4 linked regions of the Danio rerio genome follow. The protein of the gene in region 1 purifies or fractionates together with the protein of each later gene. This does not show direct contact. Links are inferred from orthologs where the notes say so. Each region holds a gene or a part of one and is shown on either strand. Other genes may lie near its edges.

The links.
Region 2: the proteins of pfdn6 (region 1) and vbp1 purify together in Homo sapiens (affinity purification with mass spectrometry; 6 studies listed by BioGRID and IntAct, counting the BioPlex papers as one, with this or other methods). This does not show direct contact. The link is inferred for Danio rerio from reciprocal best matches to the Homo sapiens genes PFDN6 and VBP1.
Region 3: the proteins of pfdn6 (region 1) and pfdn1 purify together in Homo sapiens (affinity purification with mass spectrometry; 6 studies listed by BioGRID and IntAct, with this or other methods). This does not show direct contact. The link is inferred for Danio rerio from reciprocal best matches to the Homo sapiens genes PFDN6 and PFDN1.
Region 4: the proteins of pfdn6 (region 1) and pfdn4 purify together in Homo sapiens (affinity purification with mass spectrometry; 6 studies listed by BioGRID and IntAct, counting the BioPlex papers as one, with this or other methods). This does not show direct contact. The link is inferred for Danio rerio from reciprocal best matches to the Homo sapiens genes PFDN6 and PFDN4.

The regions. Positions count from the first base shown.
Region 1 is NC_133189.1:35,059,668-35,065,331, forward strand, and holds the start of pfdn6 (prefoldin subunit 6), read right to left. Parts: upstream 3,389-5,664; 5' UTR 3,353-3,388; coding exon 3,289-3,352; intron 186-3,288; coding exon 115-185; intron 1-114. UniProt on the Homo sapiens protein: Binds specifically to cytosolic chaperonin (c-CPN) and transfers target proteins to it. Binds to nascent polypeptide chain and promotes folding in an environment in which there are many competing pathways for nonnative proteins.
Region 2 is NC_133182.1:23,875,459-23,881,036, reverse strand, and holds the start of vbp1 (prefoldin subunit 3), read left to right. Parts: upstream 1-2,203; 5' UTR 2,204-2,227; coding exon 2,228-2,308; intron 2,309-2,571; coding exon 2,572-2,696; intron 2,697-3,123; coding exon 3,124-3,190; intron 3,191-3,918; coding exon 3,919-4,017; intron 4,018-5,578. UniProt on the Homo sapiens protein: Binds specifically to cytosolic chaperonin (c-CPN) and transfers target proteins to it. Binds to nascent polypeptide chain and promotes folding in an environment in which there are many competing pathways for nonnative proteins.
Region 3 is NC_133196.1:32,811,262-32,816,908, reverse strand, and holds the start of pfdn1 (prefoldin subunit 1), read left to right. Parts: upstream 1-2,265; 5' UTR 2,266-2,278; coding exon 2,279-2,311; intron 2,312-5,212; coding exon 5,213-5,379; intron 5,380-5,458; coding exon 5,459-5,543; intron 5,544-5,647. UniProt on the Homo sapiens protein: Binds specifically to cytosolic chaperonin (c-CPN) and transfers target proteins to it. Binds to nascent polypeptide chain and promotes folding in an environment in which there are many competing pathways for nonnative proteins.
Region 4 is NC_133198.1:41,415,975-41,420,634, forward strand, and holds the end of pfdn4 (prefoldin subunit 4), read right to left. Parts: exon of another isoform or gene 4,576-4,660; intron 2,186-4,575; exon of another isoform or gene 1,952-2,185; coding exon 1,820-1,951; 3' UTR 1,264-1,819; downstream 1-1,263. UniProt on the Homo sapiens protein: Binds specifically to cytosolic chaperonin (c-CPN) and transfers target proteins to it. Binds to nascent polypeptide chain and promotes folding in an environment in which there are many competing pathways for nonnative proteins.

The sequences.
Region 1 (5,664 bases):
TCCGTTCGATTTGGGACAACATGAAGCAATTGTGTGGAACCCAGCATTTTTTAAAATCTAACCATATACTAACTGAAATGTACCATAAAAGATATAGAACACTCTTAAACTTACCTCCTTTACAATGTTATTTTCAGTCAACTGTGCCTCCAGTTTCTGTCTTGCTGACATACTTTTACTGACATCTGTGAAATAAAATGGCATTAAATTTAGTCTCTAATCGCTACTCTACAGAAATCAGTGCTAAGAAATTATGCCAGCCAACACATTTTATATAAACGATGACATTACAGAATAATAACATTTAAAAAAGGTTTTTAAAAAAGCTATATTTTTATAATTTAAAAATAACATGTATATAAGAAATTGCTATGTTTTTAGTAATGGAAGGGAACAAAACATTTTTTAAATTATATTTAGCATTATTAGAGTTTCAAAATAGACATCACACTTATTTATAACATTTTATGAAATATAACTACATGTGTCACAAACCATTAAATGTCAACAAATACCCTTCTAATATTTTAATACAATATAAAGATATCTTCATGTTAAAAGCTAAACCATGATAGATTAGAATATGTTTCATTTTTACACTATATCTCACACTTTTTGGATAATGTTTTCTGAAAAATATGAATACATGATATGTCTGTTATTTTAAAAAGAAATCAAACACATTAAAGTGAAAGTTTACACAAGTACAATACACTGGTCTGTTTTATAATATGTAGTAATATTATAATTTTGCCTTTCATTAAATATTTTAATTTTAAAATATTTGAGCAATCATGAGACATTAAAATCAAAGCAATTACATATTTTCTATTATCAATAAAATCTATTTTTAATTTAAAATCTAAAGCTTATAATAAGCTACAGTATTATCATTACTGGGCAGCATGGTGGCGCAGTGGGCAGCGCAGTCGCCTCACAGCAAGAAAGTCGCTGATTCAAGCCTCGGCTGGGTCAGTAGGTGAACTGGGTGAGCTAAATTGTTTGTAATGTATGTGTGTGAATGATTGTGTATAGTTTACTAGTGATGGGTTACAGATAGAAGGGCATTCGCTGTGTAAAACGTGCTGGATAAGTTAGCGGTTCATTCCGCTATGGCAACCCCAAATTAATAAAGGGACTAAGCCGAAAAAAATGATGAATGATTTATCATTACTGAAAGTTTTAAAGGTTGATATTGTTTTTATTTCATTCATTTTCTTGTGGGCTTAGTCCCTTTATTCATCCAGGGTCGCCACAGCGGAATGAACCGCCAACTTACCCAGCAAGTTTTTACGCAGCAGATGCCCTTCCAGCCGCAACCCATCTCGGGGAAATGTTTATATTTAATGTTATTTTATTTATATATATTTAATATATATATATATATATATATATATATATATATATATATATATATATATATATATATATATATATATTATCACTAAATTAAATAAAAACAACATCAACATCAACATCAAAGTATGTTGTATACTGTAAACTCGCAGACTTTTTTCGTCACATCCATAACACATGTTTATTTATTTATTTAAAATGTATTTAATTTTTTAAAAATTTACAGATTGATTTTTTCTGCTCCCATGACTCTGTGGTTGGTAGCTTCTCTGGGAATTCATGTTTTGAAATGTGTGTATATGTATGTATATGTATGTATGTATGTATGCATGCATGCATGCATGCATGCATGCATGTATGTATATATATATATATATATATATATATATATATATATATATATATATATATATATATATATACATACACACACACATACATACATACATATATACATACATACATATATACATACATACATATATATATGCATTATTTGGTATATGTTTTTTGAACAATCATGATTTATAAAATCTCAAATTAATTATATTTATTCTAATTTAGTTAAAACTTTTTATTTATTCAAAGATATGTTGCAGGAAATGTGCAAGTGTACACTGGTATAACTTGGCTATATGAATATTCATAATGGTGTTACTATAAATACCAAGAAACTTACACAATGAATCATAAAATAAAATAAAATAGTAAAAGCCTTTTTAAAACGTTCAATAATGAGAATTTGTAGATTGAATGTGGATTTTGTCTAAAATAGCTCTGGGTAGCTAAATCAAGTCCAAATACAACATAACCGTGACATTTGTACTTTATCAGTGCATTGCACTACATAGATATTAAACCTGAATACAACAAATTACTACAAATACGTTAAATATAAATTATTAAAGGAGCACACACATACATATATACACACACATACATACATACATATATACATACATACATATATATATGCATTATTTGGTATATGTTTTTTGAACAATCATGATTTATAAAATCTCAAATTAATTATATTTATTCTAATTTAGTTAAAACTTTTTATTTATTCAAAGATATGTTGCAGGAAATGTGCAAGTGTACACTGGTATAACTTGGCTATATGAATATTCATAATGGTGTTACTATAAATACCAAGAAACTTACACAATGAATCATAAAATAAAATAAAATAGTAAAAGCCTTTTTAAAACGTTCAATAATGAGAATTTGTAGATTGAATGTGGATTTTGTCTAAAATAGCTCTGGGTAGCTAAATCAAGTCCAAATACAACATAACCGTGACATTTGTACTTTATCAGTGCATTGCACTACATAGATATTAAACCTGAATACAACAAATTACTACAAATACGTTAAATATAAATTATTAAAGGAGCCGAACATAAAGATGATTGAGGTAAAGTTGGTTTTATATTCGCACATTCGTTCAGTGAAAACTTGTGACATCCCTACATTGTTTACCATGGTGATTTTGATAGTCAATGGCTGCTAATATGATTTTACCATTTAGAATTGACAAAAATACTTTAATAAGATTTTTAGAGAGAAAGCCAATTTACACAATGAGGTAAAGTTGGTTTTATATTTACACATTCAGACTTTCTCCTATTAAAAATTCCGAAAAGTATTCTGTAGTTAGCAAATCCTAAATAGTGAAACCATATTAGCAGACGATGGCTATCAAATTACACCATTATTCAGTCAAATAAATAGTGATAACGTTAATGTAGTCTTATTTACATGTGATTTCAGACCGAATATTCAAAGTACCATGGTAAACAATATAGGGAGCATGCCACACATTGTCACTGAACGAATGTGCGAATATAAAACCAACTTTGCCTCAATATAAAGATGCCCATGCAGGGAGTGTTGGATTGCTAACTCTGAGCTTTTCGTGCTGTAAGTTACCTTTCTGGAGTTGTTGATATTTCTCCAACTCAGCTTGCAATTTCTTCTGAATCGCTTCAGCCATCACACCTGCTATTCCAATGTCTGACTTATTATTATTGCTAAATAATAAAAATCACGATATTTTATGACAAATGCAGACAGTCAGCAGCACACTACTCAAGCACACAGTCTGAGGCGCACGGGAAATGACGTCATATCATTGCGTCACATGGGGGTTTTACGATAGCTGATAAAAAGAGTTACTTCGCCATCTAGTGTTTAAGAAAAACATACACAATTTTTTTCAGTATTATGTTTATTCACACACCTTTAAATAATTTGCTCTATAATTTTACGCACCATATGTAGATTTAACGCATCAGTTAATGTGATTTTTGGATTAATACGATGGGTACAATTTTTCCAGTATCTAAAAGCGTAGTGCCTCTCCTGTCCATGTGGTGTCAGTCTATCCTCTTCCTCCAAGCCCTCTGTAGTGACAGTCAAGGCAATATGGCAGCGCGCATGGTTCAAATTCTAACGTGAAGGTCTTTTTTCGGGTGTGCGCGACCACATAGAATCACAACAGCAGGTAAAGTCAGTTATATATTTTTTCTATAACACAAGCAAATGTAATGACTGTTCTAAATCTGCACCTTAAGCAGCGTTTTAAACATATGTAGGGTAAAATAGTATCATGTGCTATATTCATCTATTACGAGAATGAACCATGGTTTAAAGAGTTAAGTGTAATCATACTTTTTTTGTCGTATCGATTGTTATTTATAACCACAGTATTACTGAAAGTACTACAGTTTAGCTGGGGTTAGTGTAACAAAACCATGTTGATTTGAGGTTACCATGGTTAGTTTTTGTGGTAAAACCATGGTTAATTTTCGTAATAGATGTCATGATGTTTTAACTTTATCGATATTTGCTAGTAACGTTATTCTTCTTCTTGTGATTCTTCAAAACTTTTTTTATTTTTTTCAATAAAAAAATCAAATTTTCTAAGATGACAAACAAACAAACAACCATTAACCACCATTTAACCATAGTATCTGTGGTAAACCTGTAACGTTAGTTACACTAATAATATGTCTGTCAAAACACGCGCACACACACACTTCCCTTGGTTCAATTTCATAAGGGCAGGAATGAAATAATAGAATAAAACATAAATAATTCATAAATTCTATTGTTTTGTCAGGCAGTCATTTTGAGTGTGGCTATTTTTGCTTTTTTCTATAATGAACCTGATATCTTTGCTGTGAGTTGAATGTGTATTATGAAATGTGTTCATGGTTTTAGAGTTATGACAGAGGTTGTCACTTTGTAAAATTCATATAAAACATTTGTATGATGATTAGTCCTCTGAACCTGCAATTTTAGTTGAAGAAATCACTTTTTTTGGACACTTTAATCTCAGTTGTTTTGATTATGCTTGTTACTTGTGGGAGCGACACAGTAGTTTGTGTCGACACACCAATGTTTCTGGTGGGGTTAATTTTATTTGTTGTGAATACTAGTAGGAACCTAGTATAAACACGGCTAGAGATTGGATACACTTGGGATGTTCTATGTTAGTAAACTGTGTGATGTTTTTCAGAAATTTCTTATTAAAGTCTTATGTTTACATAGAAATTTTATAACTTTTATCATCATTTTTTCATAAATCTGAACAGCTCATTATTGATGTTGTTATAATAAGCATTTATAACAAAGATAAATGCTATTATGACTGACAGGTGCTTATCTGGACATTATTCTGGACCTTATGCTGTATGTTGAGGGAAAAGTGCCTTAAGTTTATTTGATTTGTTTTATTAAGCTTTATTTACAACCCTATCAATTTAAAGGACCCTCAGTACATCCAATATGTGGCAGGCCAATGAAAATTATGAATTTTGTGTTTATGAATTGTCAGTCAAAATCTAGTAACTTAAAATGATTTGTAATATTTTAATTTTAAAAAAGCTGAAACATTAAAATCTTAAATGTTTTAAAAAGTGCCATCTAAAATTTTCTTCTACAATTAGCATTTTTCTCTGCCTCTTATGTTCAATTTCAGTTATTTCATGTTAAAATTGATGAAAATTACCTATTCTTTGCCATACAAATAAAAGTACCGAAGCAAGACATGGGACGCCTGAGAAAAATGCAAGTTTTAGAAAAAAATTTCAGATGCATGGCACTTAGAAGTTTTTACATCTAAACTCTTCATATATTCTTATAATGTTGTGAAAATGCTTATTTATCTATATTGTTTAACTTTAATCTTCGTTTTTGTTATTAACGCTTGAGCAAAACCTATTATATTATATTATATTATATTATATTATATTATATTATATTATATTATATTATGTTATGTTATGTTATATTATATTATAT
Region 2 (5,578 bases), on another chromosome or scaffold:
GTTTCCCCTACAGTCCAAAGACATGCGGTGCAGATGAATTGGGTAAGCTAAAATTGTCTGTAGCATATAAGTGTGAATGACAGTTTATGGGTGTTCCCCAGTGATGGGTTGCAGCTGGAAGAGCATCTGCTGCGTAAGATATATGCTGGATAAGTTGGTGGTTCATTCCACTGTGGCGACCCCAGACTAATAAAGGGACTAAGCCGAAAAGAAAATGAATGAATAAATAATAATAATAATAATATCAATAATAAAAGTAATCATATTATTATTACTATTATTATTATTAATGTAGAGCTTCACAATTTCTTCAAAAATCTTCTCTTGTAAAAGGTACATTCGAAAATTTATGAATAACAACATAAGCCAAAATAGTATTCAAATCAATTTCAATATGTTTAGCTTTTGTTTCTTCACACATTTTATTGCTAATTTTTGTTTCAAGAATAAGATCCAAGATTTAGAATAAAAAAATGTTCTCCATTTAAAAACAAATGCAGTAGTGAAAGATGACTTCTCTTACAGCAGATTGTAAAATGAACATTTTTGTTAGCGTTGACCAAAACGGATTACACACCGAATTGGCAACAGAGCCAACAGAGGATTCCGTTTGGTCTTAAGTTTTTTTTATATGGGTTATTTTCACTATTTATGATGACATAGCAGTCAAAATAGGACAACCGAGCTCATGTATGGGGTCAATACTAGACCTCTGTCAGAGAGGGGTGGGTCTTCTGAACCACCTGCACCCCCCATGGCTACAGGCCTGACATAGTTTGCCACTTTACCTTATTCTGTTATCCGAAGAGGAAAAATGAAAAAACATATGCTGAATAGGTTGGCGGTTCATTCCACTGTGGCGACCCCTAATTAATAAAAGGACTAAGCCAAAAATGAACGAATGAACATTGGAGTATTCTTTTGACTTGTTTTTTAAAAAAATAACACACACACACACACACACACATAAACACAAACCAAAGTATATGCTGCACATTTCAGTATTCACATATTTTGTTTTACTGTAAGAAACTGAAAATTACCAATAAAAATATGAATTATTATCTTTTTAAAATAAGCTGGTTTCACCCTCTATTCTAAAGAGGGTGGAATGTGCTTCTGTTTAATTAATCTGCATGTATTTTGGCTAGTTTCCACATTCTTTAATGCAATTTACCCTAAATATACTGCATTTTTGACTTAGGCTCATTCATTCACTGACTAATTTTCTTAGCTTAGTCCTTAAATCCATCAGTGGTCACCACAGCAGAATGAACAGCCAACTTATCCAGCATATAATTCACACAGCGGATGCCCTTCCAGCTGCAACCCAGTAGGCAACTGGGAAACATCCATACACATTCATTCACACACATACACTACGGCCAATTTAGTTTATTCAATTCACTTAGCACATGTCTTTGGACTGTTTGGGGGAAACCGGAGCACCCGGAGGAAACCCACACAAACACAGGCAGAACATGCAAACTCCACACAGAAATCCCAGCCGGAATTTCGAACCAGTGACCTTCTTGCTCTTAGACAACAGTGCTAACCACTGAGCCACCGTGTCGCCCTTGCCTTAATCTGTTTTATATTTGTTTCTCTTCTGCTTTTATTTACAATCATTTTTAAATATGAATTATAATGTGACACTGTATGTGTGATATAAGTGCATATATAGGCCTATTTAATAAAACACATCTAATAAGGTGCTATTCTTGCCCTGCTACTTACTTTCACCTAAAGATCCACATGCAGACAAAGAAAGCCTGTACTGAAGCTGACAGTAACATTAGTAAGCAGAACAGACAGACTCAATAATAATATTATGAAAAATCAAACTGAAGACTAAGAGCCAATGTATTTATCTGTTTTTTCATATCACCGCAAATGTATTGGATCAAACCTCTGGCTTGCCACCAACTGCTGTCGTCACGGCCAGCGCCTCGTGCTATTTCTCATGTCAATCAGGCAACACTGACATCTGCCGGTCGGTTTGATAAATGTCGGATATTATTAAAAAACATACGTTAACAAAGACAGATGGACTACATTTGAATTTAAATATGATATAAAAAGAAATTAATGACAAAATGGCCAGATGAAATCATCACCTGCTCATTGTTATAAGAAGAAGAAAGTCACTTTTATTATGCACGCGGCGCCCGTGCGTAAGAACAGCGTGCGCGTGCGTCAAAGAGGAAGAGTCGTAAGTCTCTCCAAAATGGCGACGACCATAGAAAGTGGCAATGCAGGAGCTGCAAATAAGAAAAAACACCTCGGAATCCCTGAAGCAATATTTGTGGTCAGTGCGAAAGGGATATATAGTTAATTTTCATGTCCATGCTGTCGACATGTTTCTGTCTGTGTTGGTTTGTTCGTCTTTAAACGGCTTTAAGTAAGAAAGCGCCTTGTTCTTCTCCTTATAAGGGTGCAGGGATTGCTTGCTCATGTCTTGAATGTGAGCTTTGAGTGACAGAGAACATGTGAATAACTGGCTCTCAAAAACCGCTTTGTTAATTATAAGCCTTAATTAACCAGATGTGAAACACATTGTGTGTTCTGTAGGAAGATGTGGACGCCTTCATGAAGCAGCCGGGCAATGACACAGCAGACGCCGTGCTGAGGAAGCTGGATGAACAATATCAGAAATATAAATACATGGAGCTCAATCTGGGGCAGAAGAAACTCAGGTTTGGTTTTGATCTGTTCTACGTTGTGCTGTAAAAAGAAGTCAATCTTTCAGTCACAAATTACAATAAGATTTCATTGGGTAATGTATTTACTGACACAACCAATGATTAACAACACTTGCACAGCATTTATTGATCATAGTTCTACATAAATGTACTAATGCATCAATAACATCCAAATTTATGCTTAATATTAGTTAATGTATCGTGAGTTAACATGAACTAACAATGAACAACTGTATTTTCATGAACTACTGTTAACGAACATCTAATACTGTCATAAATGTATGTTTCATTGTTTGTTTATGTTAGTATATGCATTAACTAATAAAACCTTACTGTAAAGTGCTCTGGATAGCATGCGTATATGTGGCTACAAGTTGTTTTTGCAGACTATAATTGTTGACATTTTTTCCCTCTGTTTCAGGTTGAAAAGCCAAATTCCACAAATCAAACAGACATTAGAAATCCTACGGCACATGCAGAAAAAGAAGGTAAGCTCATTTCTTAATTAATGGTGATTTAAAAAGAAAATTTGTCTCAAAATTGCTTCACAGAAACAAATCAAAGTTCAGTCTAAAATTACTTAAAATGATTTCTCAAAGTTATTTACTGCTTTTAGGATTTCTTTCATGTACTCCTTGTGAGAAGTATATATATATATATATATATATATATATATATATATATATATATTTATATATATACTTTTTTTAATAAATGTATATAAATATTTTTTTTGTAGTGTGTTGCAGAAGAGCAGTCACATATTAGATCACGTGTCATAATTGTGTCTTTAACATACACATAAATGTGTCTATTCATCATAAACTGGCCTGTCAATCAGCCTGTCATTTAAAGTCAGTCTTTTTCTCTATACATGTTATAGATCTTTTTGTGCTCTTTTGCTTCTAGGGCTGTGTAATTGAGGGGAAAAATGAACATTTCAATATTTTATTTTTCATCTTTGTAAACAAATGATCTTAATACAATAAATCATATAAGCATAATTAAGGTGATTTTGTTTTTTAATATTATAATATTAACAGAGGTTTTTTAATATTATAATCAAAAACAAATTATTACAATACAGTAAGATAGTTATGAAATTCGCCCTAAAATTACATTTTAAATGATAAATTTTTGAGATGCAGCAAGTGTATTGTTCTGCTTCACCAGAATTCCTCTTTATTTATTTTTATTTATGCATATCAAATCAAAGGACACCACAGATCCCATGGAGACACATTTTCTGTTGGCTGATAACGTCTACTGCAAGGCCTCTGTTCCACCTACAGATAAAGTGTGCTTGTGGCTTGGGGTAAGTGTTGAATGTTGAGTCCTGATGCATTTGATGTGAGCATGAAATCAAAATAATTATTATCTATCAAGATAATTATCTTTTAATTTAATGGTTTATTATAAGACCAAGTGTGGTACTGATTTTTGTTTTTTTACTACCCTGTGTCACTGCATTACATTATGAGCTGTGAAATCCTTGTTGTGTTGACTAAAACAACTGCTTTAAAAAGCATGTGTGAAAGTGTTGACGATCATTGCCTTTGTTTTGCTCTTTTGTACTGCTTATGAACTCATGAAACCTCTTCATCACTTGTAGCGTACCGGGTTCCCACATGTCTTAAAATTACTAGAATTTTATAATGTTTATTCCAGATATTGTCAGTAGGGATGTAACGATATTAAAACCGACCCGAAATATCACAATACACCAACCACGATACGTATCTTGAAACTCGTGGCATACCGCGATATTCTTATGCCCCCTGCTGCCCATTGTTGAGGTTGACATCACTTGTCTCTAACTAATTGAACCAATTTAAACATATTTATCACATTTGATTAAATTGTTTTAGTAATGATGAGCTTTTGTTTTAAATATTATATTCTTAAGTTAGTATTTTCCAAGTGCATGTCATGTGATGTGACTTAAGAAAGCATCACACTCAGTTACTACTGTATGCAGGATGGCTGCTTCACACAGTACTGAGATTCCAGATCCCCCAGACACATTTAAGTCATCTGTGTGGGAACATTTTGGTTTTCCAGTGGAGTACTGGAATGGAATTTGTGTCGTAGACAAAGCACACGTCTATCTATCGTAACTGTTTCACAACTTACACAAAACCTCACAATGTGAGGGTGTAAGCAACAGAACTGCCAACTAAAGTGATTTAATCTACAAAAGTGAAACCAGAAAAATGCCCAAATATATACAAAAAAGAGAAATATTTACACTAATAAAAATAATATAATAAAGTAGCAAATTCAAACAAAGGATCAAACAAAAATGAGTTAAACTTGAGTAAGGGGACAATTGTGAAGCCAAGCAAAAGAAAGAAATATAACAAAACAATTTTAACTCATGAATAACCGCTCTTAACTTGCTAAAACTGATGAAAAGATAAAAAGGTCTTCAGCGCAGTGCGCCGCAGTCTTCCCTATACTGTACTGTAAAATAAAATAAATACAAAGATGATCTTTACCTCTTACCTGATGTCTTTAACAATACATTTTCAACGTGTTTGCAAAATGGAAATCGTATGACATCTTCCCTATCCACCTTACTCTGAGAAAAGAGTGAACTTGAGTAGGTAAACCTCAGTATTGTTGGGAAGGAGCCAAGGCAAAAAATAACATACAAATCAATTGAAATAAAAATATAAAAACCTCACAAAATTTCTCAACGTGGGCAAAAGTAATGCAAAATAATTTTGCCCAAACGAAAGTTAAGCAAAAACAACAAAAATCATAATCGTGTCAGAAAATGCACGAAAAACGAGATCAAAGGAAAAAGCGCTTTCTCTCCCGCTCTTCCCGACATGCTTTTTATATTCCCGCGCTTTGTCGCCAAATGATGATAG
Region 3 (5,647 bases), on another chromosome or scaffold:
GTTCAGTAATTTCACATGTATGTTGATGATTTCCATTGCATGTAAAGTGGAAAAACAGAAAATGAATATAGGAAGTGGAGAAAAATGCTTGTTTTTGAAAGACATTTGAGGTGTGATTTAGAGGTTTTTGCATCTGAACTCTCAAATATAAGTATGTATGCGTGTCTATGTGTTGTGTGTGTTTATATAGAGAGATTTAATTAGTTTTAAACATGTCTAAGTAGTTTTTGTTTACTTTTATAGTATAATATCTTGCTTTTATTAAAATAAATGAAAATTCCAAACATTTATATATACATTTTTAATAAATGTTTTTCAGGATAAAGAAAGCCAAAAGGTCATGTGACCCATGGATAGACAGCACTATACATCTCATCAAGGGCATGATTTCTGCATTATTCCTAGTGGTAATCATTATTTCTCCACAATCTTTGCACCTCTTCGTATTTGTTGTGCGCCCCTGATGTCCTGCAGTATTGGTGTCTGTCTAAACTGGCATGAAGGATGCTTTAAACACTGCCCCGTGTGCAGTACATGTACAGTACTGTCATGGAGATCATGCAGACAGGACTGAAAATGATGAATGTATCGCGACTTCAATCAAAGTTGCTTTTTTGTTCGTTGCTTATTTATTTATGTTGAAAAGCTGAGTTTCTGGTTTCTCCCATCAGTCTGAATCTGTAGTACTGTCAAAAACGCCACAAAGCACTTGTAATTATTTATTTATAATGTATTTGTTATTTATTTTGATACGTAACAATTGTGTGTACTGAATGCACTGCGAGTTTTGTAAATGTGTTTTTATTGTATAGATATTTATTATCGATGAATACAATCAATTAATGTTCTAATAGGACTGAAGTTGCATCGCAAACTTTACAATCGCATTCGGAGGACAGTACGGTTTGAATAATATTTTAGCTAAACTGTGAATTAAACATTTGCGAATGCAATCAAATAAATGTACTCTGCAGGAATGTCAGACGCAGGGCTTAAGCCTTTTTTATATGTATTACTGAGAAAGTGTAGCTTAAATTAAGTGAAATAAAATGGAATACGTTTATTAGTGTGTTTGTTTTATGCGTTTAGTATAAATTACATGATTTCATGTACTAATTTCAAGCAATGGTAACAAATTTCTGCTGTTTAATAAACTATTGTGACTTTCTAAGTGTCTCTTATTTTTGTTGAAAACCTGGGAAAGATTCATAAGTGGCACCGTATTTGTCACAACTAATTAATTCATTCATTTTACTTCGGCTTAGTCTCTTTATTTATCAGGGGTTTGCCCCAGTGGAATGAATCACTAACCAGCACATGTTTTACACAACAAATGCCCTAATAACTGCAACCCAGTACTGGACAAGATACATAAACACTCATTAAATTCACACACATACAGTACCAATTTAGTTTATTCAATTCACTGCATGTCTTTGAACTGTGGGGGAAACCGGCGCACCCTGAGGAAACCCACGCCAACATGGAGAGAACATGCAAACTCCAAAGAATTGCCCACTGACCCAGCTGGGACTCGAACCAGAGATCTTCTTGCTGTGAGAAGACAGTGCTATCCACTAAGCCACCGTGTCGTCCCACAACCAATAATAAAACTATTTTTATTATTTAGATTTACTATTTTTTATTTATAAAATTTTAGTGTGTCGGATATAAATCTGCAGATATACAGATGTATGTTGTAAAGTTTAAACACTCACTGTGTGAAGTTATAAAAATATTGTGTTGTCATTACTACATCTGATATACTTGTCTTTAGCTTGGAGATTTAAGTCTCAAGTTGGTTTACCATCATTTGTCTCCTGAGGAAACCAAACAGAGTGTTAACAGGAGTTAAAATGCAGAACATACACGACTTTACAATACAAAACAACACGTTAATAGTAATAAAAAAATCTTGAGCAATGTTGCCACTGGGGTGACACATTTTACATGTAGCACACAATAATAGACACTAAAAATAAGTCCGCTTAAAGTCCGCTTAAATTAAGAGTCAGCTTCTAAACATTTTGACGCTAACATTGGTATAACGCTGAAACCTTTATCATATACTGTCATTTCTGTTGCACTGTTTTGAGATTGAAAGTAGTCCACAAACTTACCGTGTCTGCAAAACTACCGAGCTGCCTTTTTAGTGAACATTTATTGTGGATTGCCTGCCTGTCTGACATTGAAAATGTTGTCTATGTAGGCCGCTCACTAGGTTTTGCAACAAGCTCTTTGTTTCGCGCATGCGCAGGGACTCGTACCACTTAGCATCATGGCGGCTCCCGTAGACCTCGAGTTGAAGAAGGTAAAGGGTGGTTTTTGGTTTTATATCTAAAAACCAAACAGAGTTGTTACTTTGTTATGATAAAATACTGAATAAATGTTATTAAGCTTTTGTGGAGCAGAAGTAAGGTATAAAACTGTTTAAGCAACGCGATCTGTCAGTGTGTAACGTAGGTGCATGCGAATCCTTTTAATGTGTATTGTTTGTTATAAAGATGTGCAACGTCATATTTATAGTTTACCACTGTAAATCCTTTAGAAATGAATATCCAAACACATATCAATCTATCAACACATCATTACATGCTATAGGAAGCTTTCAATATGGCTTATTCTTTAGTTTTTGCTTATCCATATATATATATATATATATATATATATATATATATATATATATATATATGACATAATTTGTTGAAATATAACTGTTACAGCTATAGGAAATGCTGGATTTGCTGTATTACATATGAATTTGATAAAAAATTTATTATTGTGCTGTCAAAAAGAGCTGTCAAATGTTTAATCATAATTAGTCACATGCAAAATAATATTTTTTATTTACAAAATATTTAGTGATGTCTATATTTATGTATATTTTATATATATTTATAGATTATATGTTGTGACTTTCTAAGTGTCTTATTTTTGTTCTAGAATTTATGTTGAAAACCTGGGAAAGATTTATTAGTGGCACCAAATTTGTCACAACTAATTCATTCATTCATTCATTTTACTTCGGCTTCTCTTTATTCATCAGGGGTCGCCACAGTGGAACGAATCGCCAACTTATCCAGCACATGTTTTACATAACGAATGCCCTACCAACTGCAACAACATATAACAACATATAAATTGTTTAAATATAACAGTTACAGCTATAGGAAATGCTGAATTTGCTGTATTACATATGAATGTGAAAAAAATGTTATTATTGTGCTGTCAAAAAGAGCTGTCAAATGTTTAATCGTAATTAGTAACATACAAAATAATATTTTTTATTATATCTATAGATGATTTATTATTATAAAAATACAGTTATATTTATGTATAATTAGTATTATATGCAAACATTAATGATAGATAATTATAAATAAACATTTTTTTTTAAATGAATGTGTATTAATATATTAATATATACATAAGATATTTTATTTGCATTCATTTTGCAATGCAATAATCACAATTACTCATTTGATGACACATACAAATTATAAATATAAAGCTTTTATAAATAGAAACAAAATCTGTGTTATTTCCAGGATATCTGTGGGGTCTTAAAAAGTCTTAAAATGTCTTAAATCTCAAAAACAAAATTTTAGGCCTTAAAAAGTATTAGATTTACTAAAATATTGTGTTGTAGGTCTTAAATATTTTTTAGCAGGTCTTAATTTTCCTATGTTCATGAATAACTACCCAATCTGGCCATTAACACTCAACAATCACCAACAATCCCAATCTCAATAAAACTTTTAACGTTTTATTTAAAAATAGCATTTAATTACTTTTCTCACAGTAACATTTGTTAAAAAGTACTCCACTTTATATACCGCTGTGGTTGCTGACCTGACCTACATTTTGTATTATTAAAATATTATTATTGTAGACGGAAGTAATTGACAGCTATGCTTTGTTCTATTCTTGGTAAGGGTTATAGGAAGGCCCACACGGAATCTGCGCATGCAAATTTCCGCAGACTTTTAGCCCATCATTGAGTCTATTTATTTACTTGTATAAATGTGTATAAAATTATATTTATTCAGTTTTAAATTGTTTTCAATAATATTATTGTGATATAACAATAGTAATATTAAAATGTTCATATGATGTATTTACAATTCAGTTTTTAGAGTAATATTTTCTGTCTTTTAGTGGATGTATTATGAGAAACTTGCTTTGTTTACTAAATACGTGGATCTAGTTGGATTTGCATTGTAAACATAAGAGCTAAAAAGCTGTTGCTTTTATTTCATGTATTAAGTTTTTAGTTATGACGCTATAACCATAATCATTCCACAAAAATCAGCTGTTTTATTTTTTTATTTTTTTATTTTACAAATTTCTCAGCAGAAATAGCAAAAATGTCAGCAGATTCTGTCTGGCCCTGATTATTGGGTTTGTAGATGAATATTTTTGAAAATTTATAAAAAAAATATTGAAACATAATATTTCCTGTATTCAATGTTAATATTTTTTTTATCTAGCAAGTGAAAATCTTTTCTAACTTGGATATAAAAAATCCTCAGCATTAAGTTCTGTATAAGTCTAAAATTGCATTCATAATGGTCTTAAAAATGTCTTAAAATGTCCTAAATTTAATTTTGTGAAACCTGCAGAACCCTGTATTTCATTCAGAAAACAAAAATCAATGTCATTTCCGCCAAATTTAGATTTTTTTTTAACTCATCAGAAGCGACGTGTTTTCTAAAACAGAATATAAACATGTATGCACGTTTTTTGCTATTTTATGCAAATTCAGGGAAAAAAATGAATAAAATTTTATTGTAAATTTACAGTTGAAGTCAGAATTATTAGCCCCCCTGTTAATTTTTTCCCCCAATTAAGCATAAAAGTTTTAATAGATCATTTCTAATAACGGATTTATTTTATCTCTGCCATGATGACAGTAAATAATATATTACTAGATATTTTTTAAGACACTACTATACAGCTTAAAGTGACATTTAAAATTTAAAAACTGCTTTTATTCTAGCCGAAATAAAACAAATAACACTTTTTCCAGAAGATAAAAATATTATCAAAGATGCTGTAAAAATGTTCTTGCTCTGTTAAACATCATTTGGAAAATATTTAAAAAAGAAAAAAAATCAAAGGGGGGCTAATAATTCTGACTTCAACTTTGTATTTGCATCATATCACAGCGGATTTCCTTCTAATCAAAACCTCAATCTCGGCATCTTTGCAGGCTTTTGCAGAGCTGCAGGCGAAAATGGTTGACACTCAGCAGAAGGTGAAGCTGGCAGACCTGCAGATCGAACAGCTGAGTCGTGTAAAGAAGCACGCAAATCTCACGCATGGAGAGATTACATCACTTCCTGAAAGCACTCGGATGTTTGAGGGAGCAGGACGGATGTATGTATAATTCTGGAGGTTTCAAATCTGGACCCTTTACTCTCTGTTGTTTTGACCTTCTCTTCCTTCCTTTATTCAGGTTTATTTTGCAGTCAAAAGGTGAGATCTCTAATCAGCTTTTGGAAAAGCAGAAGACGGCAGATGACAAGATAAAAGAGCTTGAGGTAGGTTATGAGCAAAAAAACAAATATAGTTGCTTATATTAAATCTACTTGTCCGACAAAGAACTGCTTATCAAAATACAAAGGATAGGTCACCTTATTTTAAC
Region 4 (4,660 bases), on another chromosome or scaffold:
AAAACAGCTTGTTAAATAGATTTCCAATAGTTTTAATGCATTTACTGTGCCTTTTAGTCAACTTAAAGAGACAGTTCACTCAATTTTTTAATTCTCGCATCATTTATTCAACCTTCACTTGTTTGAAGCATGTTTGACTTTCTTTTTTCTGTTAAACACTAAAGAAGACAATTTGATGAATGCTGATAGCTGGCACCCACTGACTTCCATAATAATTAGTTTTACTTCTATGGAAGTCGGTGGATGCCAGCAATCAGCATTCTTCAAAATATCTTCTTTAGTGTTCAACAAAAAAAAAAAATTTAGTTTTGAACAGATAAGAGACTGATTGATAAGGTCATTTTAATTTTGATGTGAACTATCCCTTCTCATATTAATGTGGCGATGTCATTGGCCCATGAACATTTCCGGCTTGTTATCAAACTATTTCAGAACTGTAAAGTAAGGCAACTCAATCATACCATAATGTTAAAACAGCTATCATAATATTATTTATTAATATGTGTCTCTTTTTGGATTATCAGAAGCTTTAGAAATGAAAAATGTAAAACAGGAAATACATTGGGACCATTGTTTTTGTTTACACCCCTCATTGTTTACAATAGTAAATTAAAGGATTAATCGCCACCTCTGAAAATGTAAACTTAAAAAATAAATTCTTAGACATTTATTTTATGAGGTCTTTTTAACTTTATTTATTTATTTGCTTTATTAGCTAAATCAAGTAGGATTAGAACCTGCAACCAGTGCTTAATTTGAGCCGGATCCTGTTCCGGAAAATTCCCTTCCAGTAATATTTTGAGTCATCCGGCATTAACATGTGCTTAGTGAATACCTGCATCTGTGTGTGTGAGAGATTGTGAATGAGTGCCAGTGAAAAACACAAAGCAACGCTGTGTGGATTGTGTACACCCACACACATAAAGGTCGTCACCAAGCCAAAGTTAAAGCAGAAGGCATGTTTTACTATTGGCCCTCAACAATATTTTTGACCAGTCAGCTTTCTTGCATTTACAGTCACTCTCATTGGTTGATGATTACTGTTTTAAAAATAAATAATGGGATAGTGGCCTACCTAAATTATATTTGTATTTTCAAAATGGCAAAGAGGAAGTATGTTTTTAAAACAGTAAATCTAATAATGAGCCTGATTAAAAAAAGATCTCTGGAAGATGGAACTGCATCCCTGGATCAGGATAGCGGGAGACAGAAGCAAAGCAATCAAGTCAGGCAAAAAACAGGATGGAAGAGGTAACCGTGGGCTGTTCTTGAAGATTAGACGGTGAGTATTTTAATTTTTTTTTCCACTTGTCACATAATAGTGAAGTGAAATGAAAGTCAGTGGTATTAGTAAACTGATCACCATTGGTGCTATCACCGTTTAGTGATGTCATGTTCCTGGAAACCTGAAATTGTGGTGGGTGCCGGTCACAGTAACTTTTATATCCTGGTATTGTTCTGGAAATTGTTCATTTACAAATTAAGCACTGCATGCATCCTTTGCTATTTGCTCAAAACACTATAACTGTGCCAACAAGAAACATTCACCTCAATACTGAACCCAAATTGAAGGAACTCATAAAAAAAAATGTTTCTTCTTTTTTTTATTTTGACATCAGTGCCTTTCAATTCTCTCATTCTGGACATTTCATTCGTCCCCCAAAAACCACCTGGATGCAACACCTCAAGAACTTGATTAAACGTAACAAGATGTGAAACTGAACAGACATCACTGGAGTAAACCGGACAAGATTTGTAGAAATGTCCTGTCCTGTTAGAGATGGACAGTCTATGAGGTCAAGTCCACCAGCTAAAGGTTTCAGCTCTCGTCCGCCTCTAAGTTGATGTTGTTTCCAAACTTGGCGTATAATTGAACCTTTAAATCTCCCAGGACCCCCTGTATGGATGAGACGCGACCTTCCAGAGCCTTGATCTCTTCCTGCAGAGCTTCCTGTGGATAACAGGAGATCAGCAAACAGGGTTCAAAGCAGACATTGGGCTAGTATAAATTGAAAAAAGAATTGTTTCTGCAAAGCAAAGACAAGTAGAGGCCATTTATCTGGAAACTTGTTTATTTACTTATCCGGAAAGTATTCATAGCGCTTCACTTTTTCCACATTTTTTATGTTACAGCCTAGAGCTGCACAATTAATCGAAAAAAGATTGTGAAAAAAGATTCGACCCCCTAGACCAGTGGTTCTCAAACTTTTTTCACCAAGTACCACCTTAGAAAAAAATCGTCTCTCCAAGTACCACCTTACGACGCTATTTTTTTAACCAGTATTAAAAAATAGCGTCGTAGGCCTAATTAAGCAGCTACAGGTGTGCACAGTTTAAAAACGATGCAGATTACTTCCTATTATTAAGAATATGTATTATTGTCAGTCACTTTAAACATTTTAAATAGTCTGAACATTAACTGTGCTTGCAGATAAAAAAAAAGTTTTAGTTAAAATGTGCTTTTAAAAATTCATTAAAAAATGGCGCTGTTCTTAAAAAGTAAAAAGAAAACTGCTGTACTTAAATCTGAAGTATTCATAGTAGCCTATTCATCAAAAGCTGGAAATGCTGCTTGGACCTTATAAATATAGGCTATATGTCATATTGCTACACTTTCAGACAAATCTTGAAATATATGTTAAATGTATATGACAGGGTTCATACAGGCACAGCCTAATGAAAATGAATTCCAGAACCTTCTTTTTTTTCAAGACTGACATGCTATGTATTGAAGACCTGAAATGTATTCTGTATGCAACCCATAAAATATTGCATAGGAATAGATACAAATAAAAAACATTAAAAATAATATTTATTAATCATATATTAATAATATAATAAACCTGCACTAAATGCTTGTGAAATCTTTTTTGTACTCAAGTAAAAATACTATTGCACTGCTAAAATAACAACATTTTTAGTAAATAATGCTAATATTTGGTAAAAGTACAAAGTACTCTTTTAAAAAGTACTAGTTGGTTACTTTTGAATAAAAAATCAGATTTTCATTATGAAATCACTTTTTTTAAGTGTAAACCTGATTTAATGGTTTGATTGCTTAAATCCCAAAGCTACGTGTATAGGAATATGCACTAACAAAGGAAGTATGGTCGATTTTTCCTTTCATGACAATTAATCTTTTTCAATAGCACTGGTAAAACTACCAAATAATCTTTAAGGCCATAGAGACACTTTTTGCCCATTTTTTAAAAAATATATTTTTAAGCTTTGAAAGGTTAAAGTATATGGTAAAAAGATTTTTATTTAGCCTTTTATTTACATATTTTACACTATTTTTCTTTACAATATGGCAAATTTGTTTCTTCAATAGCTGTACATCACATGTAGATTTTATTTTACACTTGATCTTAATCTAAAATAGAAACGTAAAAAAAATACAAGTACACTGTCAGTAAAAAATAAAACAAATGACTTTATTTTACTTGAGGTATTTGAAATGTGACAACAATACATTTATCAAAGCAGTGCTTTAAGAGTCTTATTGTAAATTTTGATAAATAAACAATAAGTAACAATGGATTGCTTTGATCTGTAATGCTTTAGGACAGATCAGAATACAGCTAAATGTATAAATCACACATATACCTCATCCAGAAACATTTCCAGCATAATTCTTTTGTCGTAAAGAAACAAAAAAGCTCCACCTTTGCTAAAGTTTCACTTGACAACACAGCCAAATAAGAAGACCATTAGCATTGTTATCGATCATGCATCAATCTATTTCTAAATACTTCATAACTTTAAATACTTTTGACTAAATTTAGTCAAGGAGCAAAGATAAATAATGTCTACTTTAATAGTGGAAAGATCGCGATTGTATTCAATCTGAGCACACAGGCGATCATGAGAGGACTTGCAGTTCATTTGAAAAAAAGCCTATTTAAGAGCTCGCATATCTGTTTTAGTGATTTGCGTACATGAATGGGCTCTCGTGTTAAAATAAAGCACTCGCCACGTTTGCAGAAATAAGTAATTGCGCAATACCTCCATTCCCGCGCCGCCATTCAGAATGTATTTAGAGGAGTGACAGGTCAGAGGCGAGTCGACTGGCTGTCGGAGAGCGAAACGTGTTTGTTGATCATCAAAAAGGCAGGAAATATGTCCGCGGTTTAATTACTCTGCTAGACATATCTATAGTGAAAACATCCGAGAAGCATTATTCCAACAAAACATTTGTTTTTAAGTAGTTTTTTCTGTCTCTGCAACACAGAAAGCATTTGTCCCGCCCTTACGTTTCACGCAACTAGACAAGGTCGACTGTGATTGGCTACTTTTCATGTCAGTCAAATCACGCTTCAGAATCTATTCTTAAACTTCGGAAACTGATTTATAGCAGCTTATGACACAATGCACTAAAATAAACACTCTAAGCACAGCGCTGTGATCGTACACTTCACAAAACAGCCAATGCTGATCACATCGATGTTATATTACACATTTGAGGATTAAAAGTGTTAATTGTTTCTTTCATTATTCAGCGATTCCTCCGCGTACCACTAGGAGGAAGCCCGCGTACCACTAGTGGTACGCGTACCACAGTTTGAGAACCACTGCCCTAGACGATCTTAATCCTACGATTCTGCCAATCATGTTTTCAAGTTCAGGAGAGAAGCAAAGGCGGCTGTACGAGTCTTTTCAT